4 linked regions of the Pelodiscus sinensis genome follow. The protein of the gene in region 2 interacts with the protein of the main gene of each other region in a pairwise test. Links are inferred from orthologs where the notes say so. Each region holds a gene or a part of one and is shown on either strand. Other genes may lie near its edges.

Region 1 (6,872 bases), on a different chromosome or scaffold from region 2:
TCATTGCTACCTTGGGTAGCACATTGGTGGAAATTAGAAAAAAGGTGACCATGCAATTACACCATTCAGTCCATACCTTCTCTTGTCAGGACTAATAACCAGGGGCCAGTTAATATACACGGCTTTTGGTAACTGGGACACTTGACCACTGCAAAGGACAACTCATTTCACACAGGCCACCAAACAATGGCAATTTTTAGAGCACTTCTGACTAAGATGAGATTCGCACCTGTAACCTAGGTATTTAAACCTTTATAGTACATTACTACTTCCTTGAGCCACCCAGTCTACCTGATATACATGTTGAAAGTGGTAGCTCTTTTAAAACCCCTCTCATCTCACAGTGTACTGTATGCATAAGAATATCTGAGATTTTACTAGGATCCACTGTGTAGAATTATAGTAAAATATTTATTATTACTTCACACAACACCTAGAAGTTAAGAATTGTTGGAGTGGATTGATACTAGTACATTGCTTGATGAATACTATTTTAAAAGTGTATGGAAGTATAAACCAACCCACCTAACAAAATGTTTAAATGTAACTGACCTTAGAAGTGGCAGTGCTCTCCTCTTATCACAACATAATCAGCTCTGAGAAGGCAAAAAGAACAAGGTAACATTATTCTGGTATGTGGATGGTTAGCTGAATATAATCCTAATCAGTTTTATAATTAACCTTCCAATCTGAGTGAAAGTATTCCAGCCTGACATTTTGTAAGTTAATTAACTTTCTATGAACGAGTGCTCCTTTCTTGGAAACAGCGAGATAGGAAAGTTAAACGATGGGGTGACATTTTACCACACTACTGATAACATGGCTCTAATTAAAAACAACTGACAAGAATAGAGATTCTCTCAGGTGTTATCCTAATAAAATTTTTAAAAATCCCAATTAGACATGTTCAGCAACAGGCAGCTCCATACATTCCAGATGTAATCAATAGTGCTCTAGTAAGGTCTTTAGGAGCACATTCCACAGATAGCTGGCTGTGATTGAAAAGCACCCTACTTATATGGATGCCTAGATTTCAGATTGCAGGGAGAAGGGCTTTACTTAGGGATTGAAAGGTAATCTGAGGGCACTATAACCACAATTACTTTTCCATTCCATTTCTCTAAGACTGGTATTAGTGTCTGCAGAGAAATGAAAGTCCAGAAGCATGTTAACAGCAAAGACAACTATAAGTCAGCTACTTTACACTGTAATTAATACTTCTACTGGTGTGGTCAGGTAGTTGAGTGCAAAAAAAAAGTATTCCTAGAGCATGATTTTTTAAAATTTTGTTTTTATTGTAATTTGAATGAAAAAAAAAGCCCTTAAACATTTGCCTTTAGTATTTGCAATTTAGACATCACAGTGCAAAGCCAGGGCAAAAAAAGTACAAAAGAGAAACAAATTGGGACAAACTAAGATTGTTTATTTTTTGTAAAATCACCTAATAGCATCTGTGGGGGAAAAGAAATAAGATTTTTAACATTCATTGATTTGTAATTACCTCAGGTATTACTAGTGAGTTTTCTATGTTGTTTTAAAAGGATTGAGCCAAGATCAGGCATGGGTTAAGTGAGCTGTACCGACACAACCCATATCTGAATTTGGCTCATTTGTTATAAACTAACCAAAAATACAAGTCTTTTACAGTACACAGTCAAGCACATATTATTTGCAACCACACATTAAATGTATTAAATTGCTTATTTTATTCACTGTTGATTTGTACAATAGTTGCCACAAACACAAGAACTACACTCTAAATAACTTATTATACAGTCCTATTCACAAAATGAAATGTAGCTGAAAATGTTTTTCAGAATCTGCCCAGCTCAGTGAAAACCTGATGTAATGAGAGCAGAGCAGATCTCATATGAGCTTCTTGAGGGTTCTGGCCCAGTAGCTATACACAGAACTTTGGCTGGATGCCTGTCTTCCCCAGCAGGTGAATCACTCTGAGGCTTAGGCAGGAGACAATCTCCTGACACCTTTTATAAAGCAGTAGTGCACACGCTCAGGTGGGAAATAGGAGCCTAGAATGAAACTGTAGTGCACATGTGTGACGTAGTGGAGGTACCTGGCTGGTTTCTATGCTGCTGTCTCTGGGGGTACCTGGCTGGTTTCTATGCTGCTGGCTCTGGGGTAACCCCCACTGGCTGCCGTGGGTACCACAACCCAGCAAAACAGGATGAATCACTATGCAAACCAGTATGGCCAGCCACCCCCCATGGAGAGGAACAAAGGAAGGTGGAATGCTGCCCTGGCTGGGGGGCAGGGCTGGAAGAGGGTGAGGGAGTTGGTGTCTGGGAGCATGGAGGAGACAGCCTAGGGAAAGGGACTGGAGTTTAGGGGCCCAGTCTCCCCCATCTCAAGGGGGCCTGAGGCATCCTAGCCCAGCTCTGTGACCAGATTACATCTGTGCTGTGCTGTATCATGGAGAGGCAATAAACTTCCTCTATTCCACCGGCTGGTGCAGTCTGTTCATGCCATTTTGGGGTGCAGGAGACGGGGAACCCCCAACGCGCCGTCACAACATGCCAAAAGGGAAAACCCTTGACACTGATTGGCTATGTCTACACTTGCGGCTTCTTGCGTGAGTAATATGCAAATGAGGCTAAGCGTGGACTATTGCTGAGCCTCATTTGCATACCTAATGAGCCACCATTTTTTCAGAAGAGGCTCTTGCGCAAGAAGGAGCGTCTACACTGCCCCTTCTTGCGCATGAAAAACCCTCTTGCGCAACGCCGTTCTTCCTCTCAAGTAATAGGTGTAACGGCATTGCACAAGAGGGTTTTTCTTGCTCAAGAAAAGGCAGTGTAGATGCTCCTTCTTGCGCAAGAGCCTCTTCTGAAAAAAATGGTGGCTCATTAGGTATGCAAATGAGGCTCAGCAATATTCCATGCTTAGCCTCATTTGCATATTACTCGCGCAAGAAGCCGCAAGTGTAGACATAGCCAATGAGTCTGGGTGCCCACTGGGTTGGGCAGAAGCTGAGTGGGGTTTGTGGATCACAATGGTGCCTAAAAACAGGAAGAAGGTGTCTAAATCCCCTTGTGCAAATATACATCTCACTCTAAATCTCACAGATCACACAAGAAGTTAAAGGGTGAGTGGGGATAGGAATTCAGCTATTTCTATCTCAGAGACCCTTGTTTAGAACACAATATGTTCACTTTTGTTACTAGTACACTACCACGGCTTAGCTCACCAGAGTGACCTATCATACCATGTCCAGCATTTACCAGAGCAGCTAAACATCAGATTTCAAATTAAAGAATTATTCATGAAGGATTCTTGTTTTCTGTTTCACCCAGGAACTCTGAACTTTATCCCCTACTTCCTTCTTCTCTTATTCTCCATTATCTCAGCTATGGTATTGTAAGAAACCCCATTTCAATTTTTTCCTATAGAAACCTTTTACTTACCAGCTCATTGAAAGATTATCATTGAGGTTTTTTAACCAGTTACTTTTTGGGGGGTTGGGATTGGGGGGCAGAATTATTATTGTGGTAAAAACATGTTTGAATGCCACAAGCTGCTTTAGGGTTGTAGTTATAGCCAACTAAAATAAGTATTATTGATCCATCATTTCCCCTTGTCCCTTCTGGAGAGAATAAACATGCTAATTAATTAGTACCTTTCATAATCACTAATGGTTTCCATGTGAAAATGGGTAAGTGGTGAGAGTGGTGTGCTAGTTTTCAAAGTGCCTACATGTGCAAAGATTCTAGCCTGAACTCAAATGGCCATTTGGATTCACTCTCCAGCTGTAGATCTCTCCGTTTGGTGTAAACAGAGAGATACTTCCTTCCCACTCACACCTGAAATATATTTAAGAGGCCAGGCTTAGTTATTTTTCTGTTTTAAGATACAACCTGTCATGGGATGAGGGTTTTTCTACTATGGCCTCCAGCAGCATGGCAATTCCCTGGAAAATCTTTATCTGTTTGTATTATTGTGTTCGCCTGCTTTCTTCTGTTGCTCTGTGTTCCCCCAGCTCTAGGGATGAGACAGTGTCTGAGAAGATGCCTGAGCTGTTGTTTGTTCCTGAGGATGAGCCTCCATTGTTGCTATTGCCGCCAGGTGTGAGAAAAGGTTATACCCTCCTGCCACCTCTTCTCAAGGTGCTGTCTGACCAGAAACCTCACAGTTGGGAAAGTGAGGTCCCAAGACTCCAGCCAAATTCCAGAGCCCTTAGGTATATGAAGAGGCTATATAAGATGTCTGCTACAAAAGAAGGAATCCCCAAAGCCAACAAAAGTCATCTCTATAACACTGTAAGACTCCTCGCTCCATGTGCTGAGTGTGAGCACCACCACAGGGACCAAATAAAAGGTAGGTGAGGAAAGATGTGTGTTTGGGGGAGATATAATTAAAATTCTCTTTCCTTTCCCCCCTTGTTCCTTCAATGGGGTGAAATAAAGAAACGTGTAATCTCTGCAGATCTGTATCTATTATACCTACTGGATGACTTTTCTCTTGCACTGGATAGGTCTTTTCATAATATGCCTTGCCTTAAAAGGAGTTTAGGTCTGGCTTTGCCATAACTTAGGTCTTTGAACCTACATAATTCTCACATCCAAACTGATGCTTACCCCTAAATACATTTTAGAACAATCCAGCATGGCCATTTTAAGATAAACTGATTTTTTTGTTTTGTACCTTTTGAGTCAAGCAAGGAAAAAGAAGTGACTGACATCTGCTAGCTAGATGCCTTATGTTCTTTTATTGCCATGTGTAAAATGCAGAATTTAAAGTCAGCAAACTCTGCCTCTGTAATCAGATCTTATTAATGATGTGTTAGGATCCAAATACAAGAGGACTTTTTCAAATCAGTCCACTGTTCTTCATCTACTTTCTACCAGAGAAGAACCAAACACTCTTTCCCCCCCACCCTATGAATATCCATATTTGTAATGCATGACTTCAAATAACTTAATGCTGCAGTCGAGAAGCTTCAAGCAGAGAATAATGGGGTGGGGTGAAAGATGTGGTCTGATCACAAGACTGGCAACCAGCAATCCCTGACTTCTAATCCTGCATGTATGGCTGTGGACATGTTACTTCAACTCTGACTCAGGATTTCTCCCTTTTTATTTATTTATTTATTTATTTTTTAAAGTCTGGCTACAGATGTGAACCTTCATCACATATTTTAAGGTGAAGTGCTCCAAAGTTAAGATTTTATAAAAGCAATAGGATTTATTGATTATGACCTGATGTATAAACTGCAGTCAAACTACTGTTTTAGGTGCATTGCTACAAAATCCCCTAAGTAGCATGATAATAAAATGCTTAAAAGCAAAAACTTATTAATGGGTGCATCTCCTAAGTTATCTTCTATATTATTGTAACTATTCAGATGGCTAAATTTGGAACTCACTCACCATCTCTCTGTGCAGCTCATTTCAAAAAAGCAAACAACTTAAGGGTTAGTGCATCTACACTAAATTCATAAAGCCCTCATTTAGAATATTCTCTGTAGTTAGTGGCCTTTTTCTCAAAAATAAGGATGAAGAATTAAGGAAGTTCAGAAGGCTAACAATTATTAGTAACATGGGGGAAATGCTCCAAATGAAAGAACTGGAATTCTTTACCTTAGAAAGCAGATAAGTAAAAGGGGAATGTGATAAATTAGTCAAAATAGCAAATGGTATGAAAAGATAATTCAGGAGTATCTGTTTTCCCTGTTTGTTGATATGGGGAGGCAATCAATGAAATGGGAAGATGGCAAATTCAAAGCTGAACACAAGAAATACTTTTATACATAATCTTATTTCTATAGGATCCTCTTCACCCACTATTTTTAATACCTATAGAAAGCCTGCAAAGATCTTTCTTTCTCTACAGCTACGACTATACTACAGGCTTCTTTCAGAAGAGATCTTTCAAAACAACTTCTTCCAAAAGAGAGCGTCCACTCTGCAACAGTGCATCGAAAAAGCGATCTGCTTTTTCAAGAGAGCGTCCTGACTAAATGTATGCTCTCTTGCATGTAAGCAGTGGATGGAATGGCCACCAGGGCACCTGTGCTTTTTCCTCTTTTTCTGAAAGAACTCCCTCTTCCCCGTCCACACACGCCTTTTTGTGAAAGAGCTCTTTTGTAAAAAGGCTTCTTCCTCATAGAATGAGGATTACCAATGCCAGAAAACCCCCTCTGTTTCTTCAATTTTCTTGTGGAAGAACTCAATTGTAGTGTGAATGTTCCTCAAGTTTTGTTGGAAAAACAGCCATTTTTCCAACAAAACTCTGTAGTATAGACATACCCTACCATTGCTACCATATTCAGTTTTGCATTTTTTCCTTCCTTAACATAACAAAAAAATGTTGCCTTTTTTTTTATGAAGTATCACTAGTTAACTAGTGTTGTCCCATCTATGGGACCAGGGTGTGGAGCCAACAGATGAATCCACCATTGTTTGCTCCTCCAAAATGTCAAAGGTATGTGTGTATAAAATTGTGTGTATATATACGACAGACTGGTGCATTTTCTTAGAGTAAGATTTTGGAACCTTTTCGACATTCTCTGCCAGACTACCAAATTTAAGTTGCATTGAATGTTGGTCTAAATTTCTTCCCTTTTTAATGACTTATTTCTGTTTGATTATGCACACTTGTCAAGTGCCACTGAAAATGGTTTAATCTCTACAGATACTTTGTTACAGATACTTTGTTTCCTTTCTCAGAAGACCTTCGCTCAGTGGATCTGCTTTTCAATCTGGATCGTGTTACTACGCTGGAGCATTTACTCAAGTCCGTCTTGCTCTACTCCTTTGACAGATCAGTTTTTAGTTTTTCTGCCAATACATGCACATGCCACTTAGCTGTTAAGGAAAATGATCCCTCTACTCAAGTGTGTCCCAATGTACCGCAGT
Region 2 (7,542 bases):
AAATATCCACAAGCCCCCGAGCCACTTACCCCAGTGTTTAACCCCCCTGGCAGGCAGGAAGCATTTCCTAATGGCCAACCTCAGCCTCCCTTGCTGCAGTTTAAGTCTATTGCTGCTTGTCCTGTCCTCAGAGACCAAGGGGAACAATTTTTCTCCCTCCTCCTTGTAACACCCTTTTAGATACTTGAAAACTGCTGTCACGTCCCCTCTCGGTCTTCTCCTTTCCAAACTAAACAAGCCCAGTTCTTTCAGCCTTCCCTCCTAGCTCATGTTCTCCAGACCTTTCATCATTCTTGCTCTTCTCTGGACCTTCTCCAATTTCTCCACATCTTTCCTGAAATGCGGTGCCCAGAGCTGGACACAATACTCCAGTTGTCGCCTAATCAGGGCAGAGTAGAGCGGAAGAACGACTCCTCGTGTCTTGCTCACAACACTCAGGGGCTGTTTCTAGACTGGCAAGTTTTTCCACAAAATCAGATGATTTTGCGGAAAAACTTGCCAGCTGTCTACACTGGTCGCTTGAATTTCCGCAAGAACACTGACGATCTCATGTAAGATCTCATGTAAGATCGTCAGTGTTCTTGCAGAAATACTGTGCTGCTCCCGTTCGGGCAAAAGCCCTCTTGTGCAAATCATTTGTGCAAGAGGGCCAGTGTAAACAGCACAGAACTGTTTTCCGCAAAAAAGCCCCGATTGCGAAAATGGCGATTGGGGCTTTTTTGCAGAAAACCGCGTCTAGATTGGCCACGGACGCTTTTCCGCAGAAAGTGCATCCTGCCAACCAAGATGTGCTTTTCCGAAAATGCTTTTAACGGAAAACTTTTCCCTTAAAAACATTTTTGGAAAATCCTGCCAGTGTAGACGTAGCCCTGTTGACTCAGCCCAGAATCATGTTTGCTTTTTTTGCAACAGTGTCACACTGTTGACTCATATTTAGCTTGTGGTCCACTATGACCCCTGGACGCCTTTCAGCAGGGCTCCCTCCTAGACGGTCGCTGCCCATCGTGTGTGTGACACGGATTGTTCCTCCCTAAGTGGAGCACTTTGCATGTGTCCTTATTGAACTTCACCCTGTTCCCCTCAGCCCATTTCTCCAGTTTGTCCAGATCATTTTGAATTCTGACCCATCCTCCAAAGCACTCACAACCCCTCCCAGCCTGGGATCATCTGCAAACTTAATAATCCCGCTCTCTGCCACTTTCTAAATCATTGAGGAAGATACTGAGCAGAACCGGACCCGCCACTGATCCCTGCGGAACTCTTCTTGATCTGCCCTCCAGCATGGCAGGAAGGGTCCTGGAACAGCTGGTTATAAACCCCAGTGGTGTCAGCCCCGAAGAAAATAACCCTGGAATGAATCAGTTTCACAGCATTGCCCAAGAGGCTTTTTCTCCTGCAAGGAGGGGCCCTGTAGACAGCTCCTTGGGACAAGAGCCTCTTCCGCAAAATGGTGGCTAATTAGGTATGCAAATGAGGCTCCGGAGATATTCCACCTTAGTCTCATTTGCATACTTCTGGCGCAGGATCGGCCCGTGTAGACCCAGCCTAAGCGAGGTCCTGAGAGCAGCTGGACAAGGACCCAGCTCCCTCCTTACCCCGCCCCCCAGGAGTACCCGAGCGGGCAGCCCCTACCTCGTCTGTCATGTCTTGCCACCGCCCCATGTCGCTGCCCCCGCCCGCCCGCACCGGCTGCGCTCGGCTCGCTGCGTGGCCAGCGCAAAGCAACCCCCTGCGGCCGCCCGCGCGCGGGGTGGGGCCGGCCCGGCCCGGCCCCATTGGCTACTCTGGGGGGGCGGAGGCGGGGGGGGGGGCACCCGGGGGGCACCCTCCAGCAAAGCGCAGGAAGCGCCGCGGGCTCCCCAGCAGCAGGGCGCACAGCTGGGTCCCTCGGCCAGGCAGCGCCCCCAGCCAGGGGAGGGGTCGCATCGTCCCGTCCGCGTCCCCACTACAGCACCTGGTGCAGAAGCTCCCCCCGCCCCCGCCTGACCAGGCCTGACCCCCCCCAACAGCTGCCGTGTAGACAAGAGGGGAGACCCCTGCCCCGGAGTGGCTAAGCGCCAAAATAACAAAGAGCGTGGTCACCCCAAGCTCCTGCAATCCCCGCTCCCCCCCCCGCTTCCACTTGGCTTGGATCAGCCCCCCCTGCAATCCCCGCTCCCCCCCCCGCTTCCACTTGGCTTGGATCAGCCCCCCGTGCAATCCCCGCTCCCCCCCCCCGCTTCCACTTGGCTTGGATCAGCCCCCCCTGCAATCCCCGCTCCCCCCCCCCCCCGCTTCCACTTGGCTTGGATCAGCCCCCCGTGCAATCCCCGCTCCCCCCCCCGCTTCCACTTGGCTTGGATCAGCCCCCCCTGCAATCCCCGCTCCCCCCCCCCCGCTTCCACTTGGCTTGGATCAGCCCCCCGTGCAATCCCCGCTCCCCCCCCCCCGCTTCCACTTGGCTTGGATCAGCCCCCCCTGCAATCCCCGCTCCCCCCCCCCGCTTCCACTTGGCTTGGATCAACCCCCCCTGCAATTCCCGCTCCCCCCCCTTCCACTTGGCTTGGATCAGCCCCCCCTGCAATCCCCGCTCCCCCCCCTTCCACTTGGCTTGGATCAACCCCCCCTGCAATCCCCGCTCCCCCCCCCCCCGCTTCCACTTGGCTTGGATCAACCCCCCCTGCAATCCCCGCTCCCCCCCCCCCGCTTCCACTTGGCTTGGATCAGCCCCCCCTGCAATCCCCGCTCCCCCCCCCTTCCACTTGGCTTGGATTAGCCCCCCTGCAATCCCCGCTCCCCCCCCCCGCTTCCACTTGGCTTGCATCAGCCCCCCCTGCAATCCCCGTTCCCCCCCCCCCGCTTCCACTTGGCTTGAATCAGCCCCCTCTGCAATCCCCGCCCCCCCCCCGCTTCCACTTGGCTTGGATCAGCCCCCCTGCAATCCCCGCTCCCCCCCCTTCCACTTGGCTTGGATCAGCCCCCCCTGCAATCCCCGCTCCCCCCCCCCCCCCCGCTTCCACTTGGCTTGGATCAGCCCCCCCTGCAATCTCCGTTCCCCCCCCCCCCGCTTCCACTTGGCTTGGATCAGCCCCCCCTGCAATCTCCGTTCCCCCCCCCCCCCGCTTCCACTTGGCTTGGATCAGCCCCCTCTGCAATCCCCGCCCCCCCCCGCTTCCACTTGGCTTGGATCAGCCCCCCTGCAATCCCCGCTCCCCCCCCTTCCACTTGGCTTGGATCAGCCCCCCCTGCAATCCCCGCTCCCCCCCCCCCCCCCGCTTCCACTTGGCTTGGATCAGCCCCCCCTGCAATCTCCGTTCCCCCCCCCCCCCGCTTCCACTTGGCTTGGATCAGCCCCCCCTGCAATCCCCGCTCCCCCCCCCCGCTTTCATTTGGCTTGGACCAACCCCCCCCTGCAATCCCCGCTCCCCCCCCCGCTTTCATTTGGCTTGGACCAACCCCCCCCCGGAATCCCCGCTCCCCCCCCCCCGCTTTCATTTGGCTTGGACCAACCCCCCCTGCAATCCCCGCTCCCCCCCCGCTTTCATTTGGCTTGGATCAGCCCCCCCTGCAATCCCCGCTCCCCCCCCCCGCTTCCACTTGGCTTGGATCAGCCCCCCCTGCAATCCCCGCTCCCCCCCCCCCCCGCTTCCACTTGGCTTGGATCAGCCCCCCCTGCAATTCCCCCCCCCCCGCTTCCACTTGGCTTGGATCAGCCCCCCCTGCAATCCCCGCTCCCCCCCCCCCCCCGCTTCCACTTGGCTTGGATCAGCCCCCCCTGCAATCCCCGCTCCCCCCCCCCCGCTTCCACTTGGCTTGGATCAGCCCCCCCTGCAATCCCCGCTCCCCCCCCCCCCCGCTTCCACTTGGCTTGGATCAGCCCCCCCCCTGCAATCTCCGTTCCCTCCCCCCCCCCGCTTCCACTTGGCTTGGATCAGCCCCCCCTGCAATCCCCGCTCCCCCCCCCCCGCTTCCACTTGGCTTGGATCAGCCCCCCCTGCAATCCCCGCTCCCCCCCCCCCGCTTCCACTTGGCTTGGATCAGCCCCCCCCCTGCAATCTCCGTTCCCTCCCCCCCCCCGCTTCCACTTGGCTTGGATCAGCCCCCCTGCAATCCCCGCTCCCCCCCCCCCCCCCCGCTTTCATTTGGCTTGGACCAACCCCCCCTGCAATCCCCGCTCCTCCCCCCCCGCTTCCACTTGGCTTGGATCAGCCCCCCTGCAATCCCCGCTCCCCCCCCCCCCCCCCCGCTTTCATTTGGCTTGGACCAACCCCCCCTGCAATCCCCGCTCCCCCCCCGCTTCCACTTGGCTTGGATCAGCCCCCCCTGCAATCCCCGCTCCCCCCCCCGCTTTCATTTGGCTTGGACCAACCCCCCCCCCGGAATCCCGCCACGGTCTCGCCCCTCTGCACCCGCCCCGGGGCTGCGCGGCTCGGGGCGGGGCGGGGCGAACGCGCTGCGGGCCGGGGGGGCCCTGGGCGATGGGGGGGGGCAGTGACCCCGTGACCGCCCCGCCCCGCATCCGAGGACGTTTCCCGCCAGGCCGCTGATTGGTGGCCCGGGGCGCGCGCGGGACTGGCCCGCTGCTGATTGGCCGGCGCCGCTGGAGGAGCCGAGGCGCGCGGGCCCCTGCGCAGCAGCAGCGGGATGAGCCACCTGAGCGCGCCCGGGCCCGGCTCCCCCGCCAAGGCGCGTGGGCAGATCCAGGTGCGGGGGGGCGGGGGGGTTCGGGATGCCGGGTTCGGGGGGGGCGCAGGCCCGGGGGGGGGTTCGGGATGCCGGGTTCGGGGGGGGGCGCAGGCCCGGGGGGGGGTTCGGGATGCGGGGTTCGGGGGGGGGCGCAGGCCCGGGGGGGGGTTCGGGATGCCGGGTTCGGGGGGGGCGGGCCCGGGGGGGTTCGGGATGCCGGGTTCGGGGGGGGGCGCAGGCCCGGGGGGGGGGTTCGGGATGCCGGGTTCGGGGGGGGCGCAGGCCCGGGGGGGGGTTCGGGATGCCGGGTTCGGGGGGGGGGCGCAGGCCCGGGGGGGGGGTTCGGGATGCCGGGTTCGGGGGGGGCGGGCCCGGGGGGGTTCGGGATGCCGGGTTCGGGGGGGGGCGCAGGCCCGGGGGGGGGTTCGGGATGCCGGGGTTCGGGGGGGCGCAGGCCCGGGGGGGGGGTTCGGGATGCCGGGTTCGGGGGGGGCGCAGGCCCGGGGGGGTTCGGGATGCCGGGGTTCGGGGGGGGCGGGCCCGGGGGGGTTCGGGATGCCGGGTTCGGGGGGGGGTGCAGGCCCGGGGGGGTTCGGGATGCCGGGTTCGGGGGGGCGCAGGCCCGGGGGGGGGGTTCGGGATGCCGGGTTCGGGGGGGGCGCAGGCCCGGGGGGGTTCGGGATGCCGGGGTTCGGGGGGGGCGGGCCCGGGGGGGTTCGGGATGCCGGGTTCGGGGGGGCGCAGGCCCGGGGGGGGGTTCGGGATGCCGGGGTTCGGGGGGGCGCAGGCCCGGGGGGGGGTTCGGGATGCCGGGTTCGGGGGGGGCGCAGGCCCGGGGGGGGGTTCGGGATGCCGGGTTCGGGGGGGGCGCAGGCCCGGGGGGGGGTTCGGGATGCCGGGGTTCGGGGGGGGCGGGCCCGGGGGGGTTCGGGATGCCGGGTTCGGGGGGGCGCAGGCCCGGGGGGGGGTTCGGGATGCCGGGGTTCGGGGGGGCGCAGGCCCGGGGGGGGGTTCGGGATGCCGGGGTTCGGGGGGGGGGTGCAGGCCCGGGGGGGGTTCTGGATGCCGGGGTTCGGGGGGGGGGTGCAGGCCCGGGGGGGGTTCTGGATGCCGGGGTTCGGGGGGGGTGCAGGCCCGGGGGGGGTTCTGGATGCCGGGGTTCGGGGGGGCGCAGGCCCGGGGGGGTTCTGGATGCCGGGGTTCGGGGGGCGGGCCCGGGGGGGGTTCTGGATGCCGGGGTTCGGGGGGGCGCAGGCCCGGGGGGGGTTCTGGATGCCGGGGTTCGGGGGGCGGGCCCGGGGGGGTTCGGGATGCCGGGGTTCGGGGGGGGTGCAGGCCCGGGGGGGTTCGGGATGCCGGGGTTCGGGGGGGCGCAGGCCCGGGGGGGTTCGGGATGCCAGGGTTCGGGGGGGATGCAGGCCCGGGGGGGGGTTCGGGATGCCGGGGTTCGGGGGGGGCGCAAGCCCGGGGGGGGTTCTGGATGCCGGGGTTCGGGGGGGCGCAGGCCCGGGGGGGTTCGGGATGCCGGGGTTTGGGGGGGCGCAGGCCAGGGGGGGTTCGGGATGCCGGGGTTCGGGGGGGGCGGGCCCGGGGGGGTTCGGGATGCCGGGGTTCGGGGGGCGGGGGCAGGCCCGGGGGGGGGGTTCGGGATGCCGGGTTCGGGGGGGGCGGGCCCGGGGGGGTTCGGGATGCCGGGGTTCGGGGGGGCGCAGGCCCGGGGGGGGGTTCGGGATGCCGGGGTTCGGGGGGGCGCAGGCCCGGGGGGGGTTCGGGGGGGCGCAGGCCCGGGGGGGGTTCGGGATGCCGGGGTTCGGGGGGGCGCAGGCCCGGGGGTGGCGTTCGGATGCCGCGGTTCGGGGGGGCGCAGGCCCGGGGGGGTTCGGGATGCCGGGGTTCGGGGGGGGTGAAGGCCCGGGGGGGGTTCGGGATGCCGGGGTTCGGGGGGGCGCAGGCCCGGGGGGGTTCGGGATGCCGGGGTTCGGGGGGGCGCAGGCCCGGGGGGGGTTCGGGATGCCGGGGTTCGGGGGGGCGCAGGCCCGGGGGTGGCGTTCGGATGCCGGGGTTCGGGGGGGCGCAGGTCCGGGGGGGTTCGGGATGCCGGGGTTCGGGGGGGGTGAAGGCCCGGGGGGGGGTTCGGGATGCCGGGGTTCGGGGGGGCGCAGGCCCGGGGGGGTTCGGGATGCCGGGGTTCGGGGGGGCGCAGGCCCGGGGGGGGTTCGGGATGCCGGGGTTCGGGGGGGCGCAGGCCCGGGGGTGGCGTTCGGATGCTGGGGTTCGGGGGGGGCTCACTCAGCCCCGGTCTCAGGTCGTTTCCTGTCTCCCCAGGTGATTTTCGGGCCCATGTTCTCCGGGAAGAGGTAGGGGCTGCGGGGTTCTCGCTGGGGGGTCCCTCGTCGAGTCTCCGGGGGTGGGTCGCGCTGCCCGAGGCTGGGCTGGGGCCCCGGGGCAGGGGCTGGCGCTTAAGCTGCTTTGCTGGGCGTCCGTGCCTAGATCAGCTGCTAGCGGAGCCACAAAGGGCCCTTCGTGCTGCCCACCTGCCTCCCCAGGTCCCTGCTCCCATCACAGGGCTGCCAGCTGGCCTCTGTGTCCTTGGTAGGCCTGCCCCCGCTGCGCTGCCTCCTGCTGGGATGCTGCTTTGCATTGGGGGAATCCTTGGCGGTAATAGCCATTCCTGCCCCTGTGCTAGCCTCATGCTGGGGCTGATTGTCTTGTAGCACGGAGCTCCTGCGCCGGGTCCGCAGATTCCAGATTGCACAGTACAAATGCCTTTTGATAAAGTATGCCAAGGACACGCGCTACGGCACCAATGGGGTCTCCACACACGACAGGTGAGCTCATCCCAGTATCGGGGCGGGTAACTATAGAGAACTCTGCTTA
Region 3 (7,663 bases), on a different chromosome or scaffold from region 2:
TGACTGATAAAAGAGATTTGTGTGTGTGGTCTCTTCCTAATTTATTTGCACTTCAACCCACTGGGATCAAGCTGCAATCCCTGTAGGCAAAAGAAGATTAGGGAAAGGGACTGACTGTTTTTTCCCAGAGACAGACGGGAAAGCAACTCTTCAAGTATTGCAAGTTCTTCTGGCCTCTATACAAATTGTTCCTGAGTGTGGAGAGTTTCCAAAAGACCTAATTAGCAACTCACTACAAACATTTCTTTGCATTAGCTAATGATCCGGCTACACTTGTAAGCAAACAGTACCAACATATCTAATCAATGCAGAAAAACCAACAGAATGCCTATTAAACATCTGGATGTAATTTTCTAGTTAGACTTGAAATAAAATGAAAACATATGCAGGTTCCTTTGATCTCTGCCTTAACAAAGAAATTGTTGATATAAAAGCATACTGGCTAGTCAATGTGTCATTTTCATAAACCCTGGTCATTTCTCTTCAGATGTTCCCAATTTAATTTTGTTGGTTTCCTGCAATCTCTAATTTTACCATATTGTGTGAAACCACAAGAGATTCTTTGGATCTGATTTTATTTGAGGTTTTACTGATGCATAATTTGCTACTGATTTTTTTTTCCTACTTAGTCTGGAAGAATTTTTTAAGGGCAACAAACTGAGAGAAGGTAATCGCGAGATGAAGGAAAAAAGTCATCCTGGAACTTGTCAAAAATTCCTGTTTATAAGACAAATTATTAATTTGAAAAAAGTTGAAAAAATATGTAAAGAGCTGATTAACTGTAATATAGTGAATTATGATAAAGTAAATAATTTTATCTTGTTATAATTTTGATTTTATAAATAAGGCAGAATCTTGAAAAAATACTCCTTTTGCATTTCATTATAACCATTATAATCTCTTCAAATATAGCACTATTATATTACATATACCATATGACTCAGGCACTCTTTCATCTAGTTTTGCTCCTAGCTGTACAGTAAGCACATTGCAACCAAATATTTTAAAATGTTCATCTTCTTTTTCTGAAAGATAATCCAATGAATTTTTAAATAAATAATTTTAAAAGCATAAACCCTATTAAATCTTATACTTGTCTTTTAAATTTTTTTCTTACCGCATTATGGTTTGCAGAGGAGTGAAGTAAATTACAATTTTTAGAAAGAGTTTTCTTCTCCATTAGCAAATTCCAGATAATTGACATTACCAGCATTTTATTATAAAGATTTTGCCACTCTGTGGGAATTTTTAAAAAGTGAAAATGTATTCATATTGCTTGTAACCAATAATGCTAACTGTAAAGAATAAAAAAATAAATCAAATGAAAATCATTCCTCTGATTGAGCAAGATGCTATATCTGAAACCTAATATTATAATAAAACTACATTTTGGGCCTGATCCTGATTGGTTTGTGCACCCAAAACTCCCACTGATGTCATTGTGAGTTTTGGTACAAAATCAAAACAGGATTAGGCCTTGACACTGTCGGAAATCAGAACATCAAATTAGTATGCTCGTAGTAAGGGAAAAAAGTATCAGATTTCAAATAAATGAGTAGAAATTATGATTAAATAGAGATTTTTGGTATTTTATTATTGAAGGCCTCTGCAAACAGCATGTTTATTTAAAACATAAGATTAAAGCAGCTTGATTGTTTAAACATCATTATTTTTAATGCAGTAGTATAATTATTACAGTATAACAGTCTAAAAGAAAATATTACCTTGAATGGGATACAGCTGAGCTTTCTATACCTTTACTCTTCAACGTATCCAAATTTTGCTCTTGTTGCACTGGCTTAAGTATTGAGAAACATCATGGACTCCAGTGCAATTAACATTACATTTACATTGGTAAAAAAACAACAAATGGTCTGCCAAGAGCAGATTTTGGTCCCCTACCATCAGACCATGATGAATTATAAATTAACTACATGAAAGAACGAGTATTTATTTATTTATTTATTTAATACATATAATAACTTTCATTTTACAAAAATCAACCCGTTTTATAATCAAACAGTTCTATGACTGGTTTTACTGCTTATCCATTCTGATTTTGATGGAAGAGGCTCAAAATGCCCTTAAGTCTCTGCTCCTGGCACCTCAGTAGGTCAGAAAGAACTTGTTAAAAGGAATGAGGAAAACAGAGTGCTCTCCTGCATTTGTTAAAACATGCCCTGAAAAATTTAAATATGGTAAATACCGGTAAAGATCACAAGACATTTCAACTTTCATGTAGGTGAGCAATTAAAATATCCACTTTTGTTCTTGTTCCAAAATATACTGCTGTTTTAATGCTTAATCTGTTTATATCTCATTAACAACTTGCGCCAGCAGGCTAAGCATTGTATTAACCAAAGCTGGATGAGAAAGTGTTGTGTTGTCTCAGGTTCCATAACTACCAGGTGCACTCCTACCATATATAATGATAGTTTGTATTTTATAGCACTTCTCATCTGAGGAATCTAAAGTGCTTTATAAGCATTAATTAATTAAACTTCTTACTGCCTCTGTGAGATAGCTAAATATGCTAATAATATCTATTTTATATGAATAAACTGATGCACAGAGAGGTTAAGTGCCTTGCCCATGATAACACAGCAAATCATTGGCAGAGTTGGCCATAGACTTCTCGGAAATTCTGACTCCCAGACTTGTGCATGAACCACTAGACAAATTTACAATCTGCTACCACAAACACTGCCTTCTATTTAAAAGCAAATCTTTGTTGACTACCCTTAGGAAATGGTGAAAGGAGAAAATATATTTTCTTAGCCTTATAAGTATCACATTCAAAACCCTAAGGAGTGCAAAATTCATCTGGTATTTTGCAAAATACTCACAGGTAATAAGAGCTTTGTTTTAGTTTTTGTTATCCACACCTTCCCCTACACACACACACCTCTGTCTTCTGTCATTTCTTAAATGCAGGTAAAATTGGTAATAAAGCAGTTCAAAAATAATAGAGAATTGAATAAAGCCATACATTGCTCTTGTTCAGAGATGTAACGATTTCACTCCTATTGAATTGTAACTATAATCACTTCTAATTTAAATTATATACTGAAAGTACAATTATGAATAAATCAATCGCATACACATTTAAAGGAAAGTTTAAATATAGGGTGAAAAAATGTTTACTATTAAATTGCTCTCTTTATGTTCAAGTGGCTCCCTATAATATTTAGAATCTCTCCACTAGGTAAAATATATTACAGTAACTGAATAAGTACATGAACATTTATTAAAGCATTGTTTTAAATTTAAAGCTATTCGTGCCTGATGCTTGATTATTAAATTCTGTTATAAATAAAATGGTTGTTACTAGAGGATGTGTTCTAAAGATGTTTACATCCCATTGTGGGCTGTGTCAGTGTTTGGCATGGTGGTAGTCACACATGGAACATGTGGAATTGATTTGACCCTAGTCTATTTCAAATAGACCTATAAACTGTTTATAATATTGGAAGTTTCTGAGTGCTTGGCTCTGATGAAACTCCCTTAGAAAAAGTCAGTATTACGCAATATGGACAACTTCATTTCTGTCTGAGGTTACCGTCTAAAATTATATTGCAATATATTAGACCTGAGGTGAGACTTTCTTCCTACTTTATTATGTATCTCCTCTATTGAAATACACTATAAGTGGGTGCCATAGTTTATGCACCTGTCTGTACATAACCTATAAATCAAATATGTATGCATACCATAGTTGTCTGTTAGAATTAGAAAGTAAATGCTGAGATAAAAAATCATAGGCTAAAAGTGCTTTCAATTTACAACAATGAACAGCACTGAATGTTGTTTTTAATAAAAACAGGTATGAGAGCAAAATGGGGCCTGATTTGTGGTGATTTGGATGGGCTGTATATCTGTATTATAATAGCATAAAGTGGTCATTTGTATAATTTATATTTAAATACAACTGAGTATGTATATACATAAGACATTAAAATAGTTGACCACTAGTGGATCTTATGGGTAAATTGGCTTTCCAGCAACTGAGTTTTGTCATGTTCATAACTTTCCTTCTGGTCCTCGAGGTGAATTGTTCTAAGAAAAATTGGATACAGATAACTATATACACACTAACCTCAAAGGCTGCCCTAGTGCATAACACTCTACACCTTAGCTTGTGTGTTTAAGCAGGGCACTGTACGTCTGGCTGTAAAGGCAGCTGGTCCTGCCCTAAAATAGGATGCAGTATTTATCTTTCCATGTTACTTTCACAGATTGAGACTAGAGAAAGGAGGGAGGGCAAAGTGGAGGAATAAACCAGATCCCAGCAATACACTCCTCCCTCCATTCTCTTTCCCCTCCTCCTCCTCCTCCTCCATTCTCTTTCCCCTCCTCCTCCTCCTCCTCCTCCTTTCTCTCTGGTTCCCCCCCCCCGCCCACGTTACTTTGAGTGACAGTTCAGCCTCTCCCCTCTCCTTCCCACCGTCCTTCCCGTTCTCCCCAGCCTTTCTGAGCGTTCCACGGACTCCTATTGGTCCGCTCGGAAGGGTCCTGCCGCTCTGCCAGGAGAGCTGGAGGGATCAGCCGCTTGCCCCATTGGGCAGGCGGGAGGAGTACATCAGCGCCCCACGTTGGTGCCTGAGCAGGCGATTGGCCAGGGTCCTCCCCACCTCCCTTCGAGTGGGCGGGGCCGGGTGGCTGGTTAGCTAGAGGAGTGTGAAACCGCGTGTTAATGTAGCCAGCGCGGGCGGATACATTGTGTCCCGTGTACCGAGAGCCTGCTACTGCCTGGGCGCTGCGCTCCTCGGCCCGCACCCCGCGGAGTTTGCATCCTGCGCGCTATTAGCCATGGGGGCGCGGCTGTAAGTGGGGGGGGGGGTCTGGGTTTTTTTTCCCCCCGCCCGCCGCTGTCTGGATGTGTCACCCCGGGGCGCTGGAGAGAACTTTGTCCCGGCCGTGAGCGGGGCGAGGCGCCGGCCCAGGATGCTGCTGCGCGCGGGGCGCTGCTGGTGAGAGCCGCTGCTGCGAGCGAGGCTGCCGCGGGGCTGATCCACGGAGGAGTTGATTAGCCTTTGAATAGCCCTGCCGGGTGCGCTTGGGGGGGAGGGTGGCCTGGGAGCAGGGGGTGGGTGTTGCTGGTGCCTCTCTCTTTGCAACGGCCCGAGGAGTCTCCGCGGTGCATGTGCCGCTGGAGCCGGCCCCTGCTACTCTGCGAGCGGCCCTTTCGCCAACGCCCGGGAGCAGCAGCAGCGCGGCACTCGCCGGGGACTTTCTCTCGTGCCCCTATCTGCTGAGTGTCCCGCTGGTGCCAGCCCGCCCGCGCCCCGGCCTGGATTTCCCCTGCGGGCAGGAGCCGTGGGGAGAGGATTCGCCCCCGCTCGGAGTTTCCGGTCTTACAATTGCACAAGTTACGAGCCTGCGAAAGGGGATTATTTACGCTGCAGACAGAAGCGGCGGCCGGAGGAGGAGGAGGCGGTCAGGCAGCGAGGGGAGCAGCCACCCCCCGCCTTGTGCCGCCCCCGCCCCGCGGAGCGGCGCGGCCTGGGGACCGGCTGGGGCCGGCGCGCCCAAGGAGCCGACACCTGCCGGTGACTTTTCAGAAAGCGGCGGGACCGAGCCCCCAGCCCGACAACAACAAAGGAGGCGACGGGAGGAGCATGCCGCGGCCGGGGCGCTGAGCGGTGGCGTCTGCCCCCGGGGGCTGCACGGGGCTCGGGATCTAAAGTTGGGGTCTGAGTCGAGAATTGAGCTGCACAGGAGCAAAGCGGCGGCCAGAGCCATGTTTCCCCAGAGCCGGCATCCCGTAAGTAACCCCAGGCCCGGACACCCCGCAGGTGGGGGTGACAGAGCGGGGATCCCCGCTGCTCTTTCCCCAGGGTGAGTGAGTGAGTGAGTGGCTAGTACCCCTGCTTGCCCAGTCAGCCTCTCTCGCTGTCGGGGCTACATTCTCCACCGCCTCCGCCTCCTGCTCTCGCAGTCCCGCGGGCCCTTGGGCTTCCTGCCCTAAGAATAGCAGACCCACAACAGGGCACGAGGCAACTTATTGGCTTTCCTGCTCTTCTCCCCCCCCCCCCCCCCCCCCCCCCCCCCCGGCGTGTCCCTTTCCCGGAACTCAGACCTTGCCTGTCTACCGGAGAGCATAGGGGGATGGGGGTAGGGCGTCTCCTCTCTCCCTCCTTCCCTTTTGTTTTAATGTGTAACTTATTTGCATCTAAATGACAATGGCGGGGCCGGGACGCTCCCCCGCCTCCCCGCCAGGTTGGCTCCTTCCCCCTTCTTTAGTTGTGGCCAAATAAGCTCTGGCTGCTGGACCCAGGGACAGGATATGAGCTCGCCTTTCCACCCCCCCCCCCCCCCCACCGCACTTGATTTTACAGCAGGGAGCGGTTAGCAACCTACTAGTTTTCCTGGGATGGTGGTGACAAGTGTAAGGAGAGTTGAGGGGTGTTCCAGGGTGGAGTGAAAACCAACTTCTTTTTTTGTGGGGGAGGAGGTGTAGTGGGCAGTCGTGATAAGTGGAAGGAGGAGCTGGATCTCCAAGTTTCTCCCCGCTTCCATTAGCACACACAGTTGTTCATGTGTTGCTGGAGGTGCCCCAGTTGTAGGGTGGCAAATGGTGGTGGGAGCAGGTGCTTCCTAAGAAGCTACCTGCCAAGACAGTGGGATAAGTAGCTTATCTTTCATGCCCATCTTATGGCCTTGCTCACTGTTTTTTGTTTAAACATTTTTCTTTTCTTGTGCCTTCTTTCTTCTCTCCTGGCCTTTCTAGACACCACACCAGGCTGCAGGTCAGCCTTTTAAATTCACTATTCCAGAGTCTCTAGATCGGATCAAAGAGGAGTTTCAGTTCCTCCAAGCTCAGTATCACAGGTGGGTGCATCATGTTTTTTTCATACCCAATTCTCCCTGCACCGCAGGCCTGAGGCACATACTGCGTTTGAGGATTTCAGGCTGGTGCACAACGTGTTGTTCAGTGGGGTGTATTTCTTATCTCCACTTTTGCTGGTGGGAGAAGCTGTGTTTTATGTCTGTGTCCAGATGGTGGCGTGTGGAGTCACAGTTAAGTCCTGTCATTCACTCCTTTTCTTTACTTGCCATTGTTTTCATAGCTTGTTTTGCTGCTGTTCAGATGAACTTTTTCTGTGTGTTTTTAGAGCTTCACAATAACTGTCAATATTTGCTCTTGGGAATTTTGTAATAGGCTGTGTTCAGAACAGCAGGTCAATGGGTGACTTTGTCCTCATGTTACCGCATTCCAGTACTAAGGACTGTTGAAATAAGGTTTTAATAAGAACTAGAAGTTCAATGGGAAGCAGTGAAGTCCAGTGGTGAAATTGAGTGTCTGAGTTTAGGACCAGTTTAGGTTCTAAGCCCAGCTCTGGCACTTAATATATGGAACCATCTGTAAAATGCTCAGGATGGGAGTGTGGAATTTAACTCTTTGATAGGATTCTTTAGTGAAAAGCCTACAAAGTATTGGGAGAGAATATCCCCTTCTAACTGTAGGGGAAAATGTAAAAGGCTGGTTCTCAGCTTATGTATGTCTGCACTTTTTTGATGCAAATAAGACTTTAAAGAGCAAATAAGGATTTTTAAAAAAGCATGCAAGTATTTTAGTGTGCTACCACATATAAGTGAATTTCATTGCTTTGGTAATCTAAGTTATGGTTGCTATACTATTCTTGATATATTGCCAGTTCTT
Region 4 (7,415 bases), on a different chromosome or scaffold from region 2:
GGAGATGGGTGACATGGGAGGAATCACGTGAGGATTACCTGTGGTGTTCCCTCCCTCTGGGGCATCTGGTATTGGCCGCTGTTGGCCAACAGGATACTGGGCTAGATGGACAGGTGATCTGACCCAACCTGGCCGTTCTTACGTTCTTGGTACTTCTGTGATCAGCAGAGGCCAGAAAGACTTGAACCCCCAAGTCCCATTGCAACATGCTAGAGGCACACGGCTGGAAAGCACAACAGCCTGTTCCTCATCAATCAGCAGGGCTAATAACTCAGATGTGTTACCCCACAGTGACTAGCCTCCAAAGGACTGGTTCCCCCTTTGAACCTACACAGCACAAGGGGTCACCTGGAGGCATTCTCCTGCCCTCTGCGCAAAGTCCCCAGTAGAGACCAGCAGCTCCATGGATACTTTGTGCATGGAGGAAGAGAAGCTCAGAGAGCAAAGACTCTCTTCCACAGCCATAACCTGCCCCTCCTCTTGCAGCAGTGACCAACATAGGGCATGTGGGCTCTCAGCAAAGCCAGCTGAACAGAAGAGGAGTTTAAGAACAGACTATGGCAGAATCACAAAGCGATTTAGAAGGCACAGAAAACCCCACGCGAAACTATTTTAAGGAACAATCCTGGGTTACAAGCTTAGCAAACCATGGTTTTTCTCCCTGATCCTCTTCCCCACCCCAAGCCAAGTGGAAGGTGGGAAAGTCACTGCAGCTCCCCCCATCCAGTGAGTTACGTTGATGCTGTTCACCCCCAACTCCACAGCCAGGCACAATGGCAAGAAGTGCCATCACCATTCAGTGCTGCCCCCAGCACCCAGGGCTCTGCCCACAGGGCTGGCTCATGCATAGCTGTCTTGCAAACACAGGAAACCAGGCCACAAACTTCAGATTGAACTTCAGACCAGGGCAGGTGTCTCTGGGCATCAGCTAGGGAACATGCAGCACAAAGCCACCACCTCAAGCTGTCCCATAGTCTGTCCACACGGACAGAGAAACATTGTGTCCCACTGAAGCTGTCCCCTCTAACAACAAAGCTAAAGGCTGAAGGAGCTGGGTGCTTCTGAATTCGGAGACTTAGTTGGCCCTGCATTTTCAGGGTTTAAGCACCAGCTCCTCAGCCTACACCATCAATGCCCCCCTCTTCGGGGGAAGGTGCTGTCCTGTGCCACCCCTTTGTCCTCAGGCAGCCCCCAGAGACACAGCCCACATGCAGTAAATACCCAGTGGCAGGGCTGGCCTTCGGGAGATGGAGCGAGAGGACAGACAAAATTCAGCAGGTCTCCGACGTACCCCCCACCTCCGCCCTTGCCCAACTGGGCAAAGCAGGGCCTCTGCCCTGGCACAGACTGCTGGGCACACAGACAGGAGGGAAGGGCCGGGCCAGGCTAGCAGAGGCCTTAGGGAACAAGGGGTCACTCCAGCCAAATGGGGACTGGAAACAAGGCAGGAGCCCTATGCAAGCCCAGGGCCCCAGCCAGCCCGCTGGAGGGTGGGCACACCTCCCCCTGCAGGGACTGGAAACAAGGCAGGAGCCCTATGCAAGCCCCGTGCCCCAGGGCCCCAGCCAGCCCGCTGGAGGGTGGGCACACCTCCCCCTGCAGGGACTGGAAACAAGGCAGGAGCCCTATGCAAGCCCAGGGCCCCAGCCAGCCCGCTGCAGGGTGGGCACACCTCCCCCTGCAGGGACTGGAAACAAGGCAGGAGCCCTATGCAAGCCCCGTGCCCCAGGGCCCCAGCCAGCCCGCTGCAGGGTGGGCACACCTCCCCCTGCAGGGACTGGAAACAAGGCAGGAGCCCTATGCAAGCCCCGTGCCCCAGGGCCCCAGCCAGCCCGCTGGAGGGTGGGCACACCTCCCCCTGCAGGGACTGGAAACAAGGCAGGAGCCCTATGCAAGCCCAGGGCCCCAGCCAGCCCGCTGCAGGGTGGGCACACCTCCCCCTGCAGGGACTGGAAACAAGGCAGGAGCCCTATGCAAGCCCCGGGCCCCAGGGCCCCAGCCAGCCCGCTGGAGGGTGGGCACACCTCCCCCTGCAGGGACTGGTAACAAGGCAGGAGCCCTATGCAAGCCCCGTGCCCCAGGGCCCCAGCCAGCCCGCTGGAGGGTGGGCACACCTCCCCCTGCAGGGACTGGAAACAAGGCAGGAGCCCTATGCAAGCCCCGTGCCCCAGGGCCCCAGCCAGCCCGCTGGAGGGTGGGCACACCTCCCCCTGCAGGGACTGGAAACAAGGCAGGAGCCCTATGCAAGCCCAGGGCCCCAGCCAGCCCGCCGCAGGGTGGGCACACCTCCCCCTGCAGGGACTGGAAACAAGGCAGGAGCCCTATGCAAGCCCCGTGCCCCAGGGCCCCAGCCAGCCCGCTGCAGGGTGGGCACACCTCCCCCTGCAGGGACTGGAAACAAGGCAGGAGCCCTATGCAAGCCCCGGGCCCCAGGGCCCCAGCCAGCCCGCTGCAGGGTGGGCACACCTCCCCCTGCAGGGACTGGAAACAAGGCAGGAGCCCTATGCAAGCCCCGTGCCCCAGGGCCCCAGCCAGCCCGCTGGAGGGTGGGCACACCTCCCCCTGCAGGGACTGGAAACAAGGCAGGAGCCCTATGCAAGCCCAGGGCCCCAGCCAGCCCGCTGCAGGGTGGGCACACCTCCCCCTGCAGGGACTGGCACCCCCGAGGAAGGGGAAGCGAAGGGGCAGGCCGGGGCCCACGGGGGCGGGCCCCTCTGCAGGGGCAGGCCGGGCCGAGCACTCACCGCCCGTGATTTTCTGCAAGCCCAGCACGTCCTCGGGGCCGATGAGCGGCTTGCGCAGCAGCTCCTGCTCCTCGGGGCCCGCCGCCCCGCCGCCCCGCTTCACCCGCATGGCCGCGCTGTCCGGCCGGCCCGCGCGACTCTCGGCGCGGAGGGCGGGCTCACTCATCCCCCGCCCGCGGCTTCGGCGTCTTTGCCGGCAGAGCCCAGCTGCCGCCGATCCGCCCGGGCCTAGCTCCGCCCGCGGCGGGTGGGGCCACGCGGCCCCTCCCCGCCGTCAGTGGCCGGGAGTTCCACCGACCCTGCCTGTCTGCCCCGTCTCCAGCCCAGCCGCGGTGCTGTCAATGCCCCCGCCGGGCTGCGGCCAGATGCTGGCTGCCTTCCCTCCAAGCCAGCAGAAACCGGCTACCGCGGCCAGGGAAAGACATGCTCGGTTGCCTTCCCGCAGGCCAGTCTGTAAGTCCCCTCCACTCAGCGCCCCACTGCCTGCCCTCATCCCAACTCTTCTAGGGCAGAAATGGCAGAGGGTGTGGGGAAGGGGCTTTCTGGTCAGGTTGCTAGAGGGGAAGCCTGCGAATCAGTCTAAAGTGCAGATGATACACACGGGAGGTTCAAGGGCTTTCTGCAGTTCACAGCCATCCTCTATATAGCCCCTTCTTCTGTAAGCCAGTTTTCAGAGGACTGTGACTCAGCTGCAGGAGCAAGACAAAGGCTAGAGCAGTGGTGAGCAACCTGCAGGCCATGGGCCATATGCAGCCCGTCAGGGTTCTGTGTGTGGCTTAAGAGACATTTCATTCACCAGTGTCCACATCCGGAGGGTCAGATTATGCTAGTTTCTGTCTCTGTCATTTTTTCCCCTACCACTATTACTAAAGTGACAAGGGCATAGGAAGGGAGGGCTGGTCACACGCAACACTGACTGTGAGAGTTCTGTGCTCTCTGCATCCAAAGTGCTGTTCCAGTTCAATTGGCACACCCCACAAATTCCAGTTAGCAAAACTACCCCACCCCAGAAGACCACCTTGATTATAAGTCTTGTGGCCAACTGAGATGAAGAGCCTATGCTGCCCGTTGTTGGTATAGAGCTTGCAGTCACTGCCTGACCCCTCTCCTCTTCCCAAATACTTTAAGCAGTGTGGAGCTGCTGGAATTTTTAATCCAGAAATTTCTTATGCTTCTATTTCTGAAAAGTAGCTGTTTAGACCCATCAGGATGCTGGCTCACATCCTTATTTTAAATGAGATATAGCAAACTGAAAGGCATTTCCTAAGGAGATTTAATAGACATAATTAAGGTGGCTACTGTCAATCCAGACTAGTAGCAAATGCACATTTTAAAGAGAAAAGCAAAGGCAGTTGCAGGTTTATTTCACACTACTTCAATGTTTGCGCACGCACACACAGGTTACCTTACCAGTTCAGCTAGCCTTGCACTGGATGTGCCTGGAGTTGGATAATGCAACTTCAGGAACGGTGTAGGCCACGCAGCATCAAGTTGCAATTCAAAGAGCACTTGCTAGCAGTCTACACTGAAGTGTGTGATAGGTCATGCTGTATCCTCATTTTCAGCAGCAAAATTGAATCAAGAAGCTAGGAGTCCATTCAAATCCTGCTGCTAGGCCAATCCAGGCAGAAGTTAGTTCAGTTCTACCCAATGCTGCAAACTAATGGAAATACACCCAACTGCATCCTGATCCAACTCTCAGCCTCTTCCAGCCTTCTCCATTACCAAAACAGAAGTGGGGCTGGCTTTCAGCAACACTGCTTCTCATTCAAAGTAACACTGGCTGTACCTGGAACATAATGGACAGCTGAAACTTCACTCTGTTAGGAGTTTCAGGCCCCATGCAGTAGGAATAGTAAGTACAGCAGGTCAAGTTATGCTAACAATACTAGGTGGTTGCGTCTAGACTGGCAAGTCTTGCCAGCTGTCTACACTGGCCGCTTGAATTTCCGCAAGAACACTGACGATCTCATGTAAGATTGTCTGTGTTCTTGCGGAAATGCTATGCTGCTCCCATTCGGGCAAAAGCCCTCTTGCGCAAAAGCATTTGCGCAAGAGGGCCAGTGTAGACAATGCGGTATTGTTTTGCGTAAAAAAGCCCCAACTGCGAAAATGGCGATCAGGGCTTTCTTGTGCAAAACTGCATCTAGATTGGCATGGACGCTTTTCCGCAAAAAGTGCTTTTACGGAAAAGTGTCCGTGCCAATCTAGATGCTCTTTTCCGCAAATGCTTTTAACGGAAAACTTTTCCGTTAAAAGCATTTGCAGAAAATCATACCAGTCTAGACATAGCCGGCAAGGGGATCAGGATGAAACAGCAGGAGCTGGATTGAGGTGGGGGTAGTGGAATGGGGGAGGGGAGGTAAGAGGGCAGTAGGAGCTGCTGCCCATGACTGAAGCCCTGGTGCCTCATTACACCTCACTGGTGTAGCGTAGGTAGGAAACAGCCCAGACGGCTCTGATTCCACAGCTGTGTTTTGAGACATCTTGCCTGCTACAACTGCCCTTTTCGGGTAAGACTGCTGGATAAAGGAAGCAGGCCACAGTGGGTATCAGAATCAGTGGTTATGAGATGGATCTAGTTACTGACCAATCAAGAGGACTGCATGCTACAAACCACACAGGATAAGATTCTAGCCAAGAGCACTGCTTGGTGCCTCAGACCTGTCTGCTTTGATTGTTCATTTCAAGGCAGCTCAGTTAGGGAGGACAGCTTGCAGCCTAGAATCATAGAGCTGGAAGAGACCTCAGAAGGTCATCAAGTCCAGCCCCCTGCTCTATGCGGGACCAATTCCAACTAAATCAACCTGCCAGGGCTTTGTCAAGCCGAGACTTAAACATCTCTAGGGATGGAGACTCCACTACTTCCCTAGGTAACCCATTCCAGTGCTTCACCACCCTCCTAGTGAAATAGTTTTTCCTAAAATCCAACCTGGACCTCTCCCACCACAACTTGAGACCATTGCTCCTTGTTCTGCCATCTGTCACTACTGAGAACAGCCTCTCTCCATCCTCTTTGGAACCTCCCTTCAGGAAGTTGAAGGCTGCTATCAAATCCCCCCTCACTCTTCTCTTCTGCAGACTAAACAGACCCAACTCCCTCAGCCTCTCCTCATAAGTCATATGCTCCAGCCCCCTCATCATTTTGGTTGCCCTCCGCTGGACCCTCTCCAGTGTGTCCACATCCTTTTTGTAGTGGGGGGCCCAGAACTGGACACAATACTCCAGATGTGGCCTCGCCAAAGCCGAATAAAGGGGAATAAAGACATCTCTGGATCTTCCGGCAATGCTCCTCTTAATGCAACCTAATATGCCATTAGCCTTCTTGGCTACAAGGGCACACTGGTGACTCATATCCAGCTTCTCATCCACAGTAACCCCCAGGTCCTTTTCTGCAGAACTACTACTTAACTGGTTGGTCCCCAGCTTATAACTATGCTTGGGATTCTTCCGTCCCAAGTGCAGGACTCTACACTTGTCCTTGTTGAACCTCATCAGATTTCTTGCGGCCCAATCCTCCAATTTGTCTAAGTCATTCTGGACCCTATCTCTGCCCTTAAGTGTATCTACCTCTCCCCGCAGCTTAGTGTCATCCGCAAACTTGCTGAGGGTGCAATCCATCCCCTCATCCAGGTCATTAATAAAGATATTGAACAAAACCGGTCCTAGAACTGAACCTTGGAGCACTCCGCTAGAAACTAACCACCATCCTGACATCGAGCCGTTGATTACTACCCGCTGGGCCAGGCCTTCTATCCATCTTTCTATCCATTTTACCGTCCATTTATCCAATCCACATTCCCTTAACTTGCTGGCAATATTGTGGGAGACTGTATCAAAAGCCTTGCTAAAGGCAAGGTATATCACATCCACTGACTTCCCCATGTCCACCGAGCCAGTTACCTCATCATTGAAGCTAATCAGATTGGTCAGGCACGACTTGCCCTTTGTAAATCCATGCCAACTATTCCTAATCACTTTCCTCTCATCCAAGTGCCACAATATGGATTCCTTAAGGATCCCTTCCATGATTTTTTCAGGAACCGAGGTAAGACTGACCGGCCTATAGTTCCCTGGATTGTCCTTCTTCCTTTTTTTGAAGATGGGCACTACATTTGCCTTTTTCGAATCCGGGATTTCTCCCGATCTCCACGACTTTTCAAAGATAATGGCCAAAGGCTCCGCAATGACATTTGCCAAACCCCTCAGTACCCTCGGATGCATTAAATCTGGGCCCATGGATTTGTGTATGTTTAGCTTTTCTAAATAGTTCCTAACCTGTTCTTTACCCACCAAGGGCTGTCCATCTTCATCCCATCTTGCGTCACTTAGCGCAGAAGTCCAGGAGCCAACCTTGTCCATGAATACAGAGGCAAAGAAAGCATTGAGTACTTCAGCTTTCCCCACATCATCTGTCACTAGGTTACCTCCTTCATCCAGTAGGGGCCCCACACTCTCTCTGATCACCTTCTTCTTCTTAACATGCCTGTAGAAACCTTTCTTGTTATCCTTCCCATCCTTAGCCAATCACAATTCCGTTTGCGCTTTTGCCTTCCTGATAACCCCCCGGCATTCTCGAGCTAGACATTTAAACTCCTCCCTGGTCATTTGTCCAAGTTTCCACTTTTTGTAAGCTTCCTTTTTGTGCTTAAGTTCACCAAGGATTTCCCC

The links.
Region 1: the proteins of TK1 (region 2) and GDF9 interact in a two-hybrid assay, tested with the Homo sapiens proteins (2 studies listed by BioGRID and IntAct). The link is inferred for Pelodiscus sinensis from reciprocal best matches to the Homo sapiens genes TK1 and GDF9.
Region 3: the proteins of TK1 (region 2) and TLE1 interact in a two-hybrid assay, tested with the Homo sapiens proteins (2 studies listed by BioGRID and IntAct). The link is inferred for Pelodiscus sinensis from reciprocal best matches to the Homo sapiens genes TK1 and TLE1.
Region 4: the proteins of TK1 (region 2) and UNC119 interact in a two-hybrid assay, tested with the Homo sapiens proteins (2 studies listed by BioGRID and IntAct). The link is inferred for Pelodiscus sinensis from reciprocal best matches to the Homo sapiens genes TK1 and UNC119.

What each region holds. Positions count from the first base shown.
Region 1 is NC_134727.1:24,606,357-24,613,228, reverse strand, and holds the start of GDF9 (growth/differentiation factor 9), read left to right. Parts: upstream 1-3,860; 5' UTR 3,861-3,899; coding exon 3,900-4,332; intron 4,333-6,683; coding exon 6,684-6,872. UniProt on the Homo sapiens protein: Required for ovarian folliculogenesis. Promotes primordial follicle development. Stimulates granulosa cell proliferation. Promotes cell transition from G0/G1 to S and G2/M phases, through an increase of CCND1 and CCNE1 expression, and RB1 phosphorylation.
Region 2 is NC_134730.1:29,476,434-29,483,975, forward strand, and holds the start of TK1 (thymidine kinase, cytosolic), read left to right. Parts: upstream 1-4,536; 5' UTR 4,537-4,623; coding exon 4,624-4,683; intron 4,684-6,990; coding exon 6,991-7,022; intron 7,023-7,379; coding exon 7,380-7,493; intron 7,494-7,542. UniProt on the Homo sapiens protein: Cell-cycle-regulated enzyme of importance in nucleotide metabolism. Catalyzes the first enzymatic step in the salvage pathway converting thymidine into thymidine monophosphate.
Region 3 is NC_134716.1:39,162,219-39,169,881, reverse strand, and holds the start of TLE1 (transducin-like enhancer protein 1), read left to right. Parts: upstream 1-4,655; 5' UTR 4,656-5,740; coding exon 5,741-5,764; intron 5,765-6,730; coding exon 6,731-6,831; intron 6,832-7,026; exon of another isoform or gene 7,027-7,499; intron 7,500-7,663. UniProt on the Homo sapiens protein: Transcriptional corepressor that binds to a number of transcription factors. Inhibits NF-kappa-B-regulated gene expression. Inhibits the transcriptional activation mediated by FOXA2, and by CTNNB1 and TCF family members in Wnt signaling.
Region 4 is NC_134731.1:102,325-109,739, reverse strand, and holds the start of UNC119 (protein unc-119 homolog A), read right to left. Parts: upstream 3,008-7,415; 5' UTR 2,911-3,007; coding exon 2,745-2,910; intron 1-2,744. UniProt on the Homo sapiens protein: Involved in synaptic functions in photoreceptor cells, the signal transduction in immune cells as a Src family kinase activator, endosome recycling, the uptake of bacteria and endocytosis, protein trafficking in sensory neurons and as lipid-binding chaperone with specificity for a diverse subset of myristoylated proteins.